Caenorhabditis elegans: one gene and its partner. The protein of the gene in region 1 interacts with the protein of each later gene in a pairwise test. Each region holds a gene or a part of one and is shown on either strand. Other genes may lie near its edges. The genes, in order: F11A5.13 and rpl-28.

Region 1 (3,231 bases):
CGCTGTGGCTGTTTTCATCAGTGATGACGAGGATAAGAAGGATGACCCAAACAATGCGGTCGGGCAATTCGTGGAAGATGATGACGATGACAAGGTTAATGACGTGATGAACAATATTTATTAATATAGCTTTTTTTAAAGAAAAAGAACAAGAAGAAGGAAAAGAAGGAAAGGATCAAAACACTGGAAAAGGACGATAACAAGGCAAAAGATGCAAAAGGACCGTCAAAAGTCAAAAAGGAAAAACTACAGAAAACTGACAGGGGAAGTGCTGTAAGTACATAAAGCTGAAATTTTTAGAGTTTTCATCAAATTTCCAGCGCCAGAAAACCAAAACTGGACAGAGCAACAGGCAGAAACGGCAACAAGGAAGTGTGGTGAGTCTTCGAATTGAATTTTCATCAGATAGCTCTTTGTTTCCAGAGAAGAAGTGCAGCCGCCAAACCTGAAAACGCTACTCCAGTGGCTACAACCCCTCAAGTTCCTACTGGAAAGAACTACGTGCCTCTTCAAAACATTGCTACAACTCTACCACAGCCTCCTCCAGCTAAGGATAAGAACAAGGCACCTAGCAAAGATGCAACGGGTATGATCTTTAGTATTTTGTACTTGCATGCTGTTGGTAGCTACTGCCGGCAGGCGCTCTCTGCACGCCTGCCTGCCTTCTTGTCACGGCATGCCTATCTGCCTACCTAAGTGTCTAGTATTAGGACATAAAAATAAATTTTCAGAAGGACTCCTGAAATCATGGATCTCGAAAGCGAAACAGAAATATGTGGGAAAGAATCCGAACATCGAATCAAGTACCCTTAACGGAGATGATTCTATTATTGCGTAAGACAGAATTGGGATTTCAATGAAAAAAAAAACAAGATTTTCAGACCGGAGCAAGCCAACATCAAGCCTGAAATAACAGCTGTTTACGGCCTCCCATGTGACTATGCGCCAAAAACAATGCCCACCAACAAAGATGATAAAAGTCATCCGGAGAAACTGTTTCCGGGAGGCCGCCCGTTTTGGATGAGTAATAATGGAAAGCCACCACCGGCCAAAGTTATCACCGTAAAGGACGCGGTTGATCTATGTACCAGTGGAAAACTTAAGTTTTTGGAAAGACAGACTGATGCGCCGTTAGTTTTTGTACATTTTTAAATGAAACTCAGGTGTATTTACTTTCCAGAGAAGATTTGAATCCGTATTCTGAAGATTTGCAGGCAATTTGTGCCAAAGATAAAGAGTTCTTTTCGGATTATAAAAGAGTAAGTTTTTTTTAAAGTTTCCAAAAAACTACCAAATGCTTTTTGAAGATCTGGACCAACACGTTATACAACTTAAACCCACTCCCAACTGATGCTAAGGACCGACCAGACCCGAAATCTACCAAACCTGTGTCTTTCAAGCTTCCGACAACGACTACTGTTTACAAAAGGTTTGCATTCTTTTAGCCATTAATAAACTTACAAAAATTATTTTCAGGAGAGTTCAATCAGAGGCTCAAAAAGTCACAACTGTGACTTTCCAACCCACACCGAAAGGTCAGAAAATGAAAAAGAAGAAGTCGTCGCCAAGTAATAGCTCTGCTACCGTTGAATGATGTAGAATGAAGGTTTTGAAGTTTTGGAAAATCAGATTTTGAATAATTATGCAAGACATTACATGGCGCCTTTTAGGAATTAAGCATTAAAAAAAGACTTAACGAAACTTGGCTTTTTGTCAGCTGTGTTGACAATCTATATTTTGTGAAACTTCAACTACAAAGTGAATAAAGACTTTCACGAAAGACAGGTGCGGTTTCAGGTTCTGACACCTAATGGTTCTTGCGAGGCAGGTGGAGGTCGCAGCAAGGCAGGCACGGCAGTCGTTTTGGCGCCTGCATGGAAACACTACTACAAAGTTTTTAACACTTTTCATGAAGAAAAAAGTGAATCTGGCAATTGACATGACTTCCGATCAAGCAATTGCAATTGATGAGTCATTTCAAACATGAGGAATAGTAAATTGATAAGAATAGGATTTAAACTACCTAAATTGGTAACCTTGTATTATATTGCATTGACTTTTAGAAAATGAGTTCTTGGTGCCATCGTAGTAAGTTTATTTCTCAATTTTGATTACCTATTTTAAAATTCTATAATTTTCAGTTAATCGCTTTATATCATCGATTATTTTGCTTATTGCCTCTCTACTTTTAATAATTCTCGGTTTCATTAATATTTTGGACAAGGACGAATTTGATAAGACTTTTGTGCCATACTGGATGATTATTCTAGCCTGCCTTACAATATCCGATCAGGTTATTTTTTGGAAACTGGAAATGGATAAAGATCAGAGATCACTGGTGCTGCTAGCTTTTGGAGCTGTAATGAGAGTTGGATTAGTTTCTTTGTAAGTTTTAAGCTTCCGCAAATTTTTTAAATATTATTTTTAACTTTTTCAGCACAATTTGTTTAGTGACGGCCAAGTTGATTGTATTGAATGCAAAAGGTGATCTTCCAAATGTTCCGGAAATATTTAAATTCGGTTTTGCATTAAGCCTAGTAATCATAAGTGTGTACATTTGTATTTTTACAAAATGTTTGGTTAAAGTCTGCCTGGCACGAATTAAAATGTATTTGGAGTTGGATGTAATTCAAGAGGTGCCAGAAGACTTCCCAGATGCTCAAGTTTGAATTTTTTGTTTTGTAATTGTTTTTTTTTAAATTTCATTTTTTGTTTTATAAATTCATGTACGCCTGGCAACCAGTCTCTGTCTGCGCCTCCACCTTCTCCCCACACCTCTGTCATTTCATAGTGACACACGCGCGCCCCTGATTTGTCGGTACACAGCTCCCGACTAGCCCTGCCGCCTCATCCATTCAGTATCGCTTCTTCGGCTTATTAGCTAAGATCAAAGTGTAGTATCTGTTCTTATCGTATTAACCTACGGTATACACTCGAATGAGTGTAATAAAGGTTATATGATTTTTGGATCCTAGGAAAGACTCGGGGCTTGCTCCGACTTTCCGCGGGTCGTACTGGCGTTGCACTGCTGCCGGGCTCGGCCCAGTCCCCGAGGGGACAAATAAGCTTATGAATTTAGACTTATAGCTTCGTACCTCGCCGGGATGTTGTGTTTTATCAGAATTTTAAACAGTTGTCAAGCCAAATTTAGAAAAAACCGTTGCTCTCAAGAACAGTTCTATGTATCTAGATGACTATGAGTAATTCGAAACAAAAACAATTTTTATAATA
Region 2 (3,309 bases), 3.5 Mb from region 1:
TCACCGCTCGTGTCGAGACCATTACTCTTTAAACTCTTCAAAATCGTAGAAGAGGAAAATAATGGAAAATAACTTCGTTCTTCCAAAAGCAAGTGAATGTGCTTTTCAAAATCTGAACATTTCTAAATACAAAGTTTTGGAAGTGTACTTTTTTACAACCATAATTATATTATAACAAACAGTAATTTTCAGTCAGACACCATTTTCATATTTCTCGATGCTGAAAAATTTGCAACAACTTAGGATAATCCCAAAGAACCGATCCAAATGAGAAAAAATACCATGCCCTATAACCGGTTTCAACTGAACCTAAAATGTCGTGATCGACCTTTCGTCGAATGCATGCCCATTCAACGTTGAGCCGATTTGAGTGCTATTTCAACATGAAATTTTTGATTCTGTCCTTTCTTCTCGTATCAATTTGCTCTGGAGGTGGTGGATTCCCGATTCAAATGTTGACAAAATGTGGAATTTCAAAAGAAACCATTGATGGCGTTCAAAGTGTAATCGACGAACATTCGGTATTTTTAAAACGACTTCTTAGATATTGAAAAATTTTTCAGGCAATGATTAAAATTGCTAACTCGAACAAGCGTGCCAAAAAAACCGAAATCGATTCTTTGAAGGCAGATATTGATTTATATTTAGATGAACATGCATCTGACGACGACAAGGTAGGATTTCTAATCTAAATTTTACATATTTATTTTTTCCAGAAAAGATGGATTGAGTGCTTCACAAAGAACAACTCCTAATTGTCTTGATTTTTCACTTTTTTTTTGAATAAAAAATTTTAACGTGTTGATAAGCTGTAACACTTTATATTCATAACAACAACGTAACAAACGTCATTTATGCGTCAGTCTTTTGGACCTTAGCCTTCTTCACTTGGGAGCGGACGATGGCGGCGGCACGACGTTGAGCGAGCTTGTTGAACTTGTTGAATCCGGCGTTCTTGGCCAAGCGACGGACTGAAGCAACTGGGGTCTTGCTCAAGGTGGAGGTGGTGACGGCCTTGGCTGGTCTTCCCTCTGAGAAAAAACAGTGTAAAAAATAAATTTTTAAAAAATCTCTTACTCTCGTTCTTGGTAGATACAACGACTCCCTTGGCGGCGGCGCTGACGTCGATGGCGTGCTTGTTAGCGAGTCCACTGTATTTTGGGCTGTTCACCTTCTTGAGGTTGAACTTCTCAGTGGAGAATCGCTTTCCGATTCCGCGCTGGGTTCTGAGGAAAGCGCTGTTGTTGCGGATGACTTGCCACACGAGAGCGTCGGACATTTTACCTGGAAATAAATTATTTTATGATGAAAGTTAAATACAATAAGATACAACGGGAAACGTAAGAAAAATTCAATAAAATCAATTGTACACGTAGGTTTTCAAGCAAATTTAAGAATACAATTTTACAAAGTCCTAAATGTCATTTTTCCTGCTCAAACTTTTGACTGAAATGCATAAAAATTCGCTGATAAAAACAAGCAGAATACGCCAAAATAGTTGCAAATTATAAAATTTACAGAATTAATACAAAAAATTCGATATTTTACTCAAAAAAATGGAAAAAAAGAAGAAAAATAAATTAAACTTTCGTTGAGCTGGCCTAAAATCTAATAGCAAGCGCGCTCCATTGCCAAACGGTGTAAACGCGGAGCCTCGTTTGCGTGTAGTTTTTATCGTAAATCGACACAACTTCTTTCAAAATAAATTATTTCTTATGAGTAATTTTCTGCATTCTATTGTTGTGTTTCAATTAATCTTATTTTTAATTTGATTTTATTCAAAATTATATAATTTTATTAAGATGCTGGGTTCTTCTCTCCGCATTTTCTCCCCTCGAGCAGTTTCCAGGTTGTCTTTTTCAACAACTTCAGTCGAAAAAGCTGAGAAACTTTGGGAAAATCCATGGAAACATGCTCTCCCTGAAAAGTGTAAGTTATTTATTATCATATAATTTTTCTACTAGCAATTACAGCCAGAAGTCTTGCAACGGTCGAAGAAGCTCCTATCGATTGGTCGTATGTGGAAAGATTGATGCCAATAGAAGTGGTGCCGAATGTTCCTGAGCACGAAAAGTATCCTACACCAAGCGGATGGACACCACCGACAGGTATATACAGATTAAATTCATACCGCATCGAAATATTTCAGAAGCAGCCAAGACACATCAATACTACATTCGACGTCGTCATGACCATCTTCTTCCTCTTTATTTGGAACGAAAAAGGGATTTACTGAATGAGAAAACGTTGGATTTTGATTATGTCGAGCTAGTAACTATCAGAAACGTCGACGGAGACATTTTTGTAAGTTGGGAACATTATTAAATCCTGAATCAACATAAATATCTTTCAGGCTTGCGAAAATGATCTCCGCTCCTATCTTGAAGAACATCTTGGACATTCGATCGCCAGTCACGTCGATGAGTTGAAAGGTCGTATCAAAATTAAAGGAGCTCCACGTGTTCTTATTGAGCAATTCTTCTACAGCAAAGGATTCTAGATGTATTCTTGATATATCTTTTAGTTTTTTATCTAGGCAGATTTGTTTTGTTGTGAATTTATTGTTGGAGAATGAACTAGAAAAATTCAATTGTCTACTTTATCATTTTTACCTTCAAACCGGTTATTTCACCGTCATTTCCTTATTCTCTTCATTTTGTATCATTGCGAAATGCCGAAATTCTTCTCTAGAATGCCTTCCTCAATTTGTTGCACAAACTGCAGAACTAAATATTCATTATTAAACAGAGAAGTTATTTTCTGGCATCAAAAACTAATTAATTTCTATTTTTTCAGGCCGGCTGCTCGAATTGTGCTCTCTCCTTCTGTAAGAAATGTCTGCCTCATCGTGCAATTATTCCCACACTTTCGGATTTACCAATGATTGTCTGTAACAATTGCTATCAAAAATTGGAATCTGCCAAAATGAAGCCCAGCGCGACTGTAAGAAAAAGAACAAAGTAAAAACTAAATAGATATTAATCCCACGATTTTTTTCAGATAACATCAACGCCTCTACCAGATAATTCGAATAAATCGAATAAAAATTGGTGGGGTGATGGACTTCCACCGCCATCATTCAGGAATTCGCACACAAATCAAAATCAGATTAAAAATAGTGAAGTCAAAGCAACTAAATTCAGGAATTCGCCAGAAATTCCATCGCAGCAGACCAAGGTAATTAGCGTCACGGAATTTTCTTAATTTATTTTTCAGTTTTCAGCCAAATTATCCGACCAATGACCTGGAACAGCGAAGACTTAAACTGCGAGAAGATATTTCACCACAAATTGAACCACTCAGTATATC

The links.
Region 2: the proteins of F11A5.13 (region 1) and rpl-28 interact in a two-hybrid assay, tested with the Caenorhabditis elegans proteins (one large-scale study listed by BioGRID).

What each region holds. Positions count from the first base shown.
Region 1 is NC_003283.11:16,225,517-16,228,747, reverse strand, and holds F11A5.13 (uncharacterized protein), read left to right. Parts: upstream 1-2,066; coding exon 2,067-2,088; intron 2,089-2,141; coding exon 2,142-2,385; intron 2,386-2,437; coding exon 2,438-2,669; downstream 2,670-3,231. Other genes in the region: F21H7.2 (Calpain catalytic domain-containing protein), read left to right, coding at 1-94, 142-273, 321-377, 424-586, 732-834, 882-1,130, 1,181-1,259, 1,308-1,429 and 1 more.
Region 2 is NC_003283.11:12,726,829-12,730,137, forward strand, and holds rpl-28 (Large ribosomal subunit protein eL28), read right to left. Parts: upstream 1,285-3,309; 5' UTR 1,280-1,284; coding exon 1,078-1,279; intron 1,032-1,077; coding exon 853-1,031; 3' UTR 807-852; downstream 1-806. Other genes in the region: R11D1.13 (DUF148 domain-containing protein), read left to right, coding at 384-521, 564-674, 717-755; mrpl-49 (Large ribosomal subunit protein mL49), read left to right, coding at 1,803-1,929, 1,974-2,108, 2,150-2,304, 2,354-2,500; zfyv-19 (FYVE-type domain-containing protein), read left to right, coding at 2,693-2,752, 2,797-2,943, 3,001-3,177, 3,224-3,309.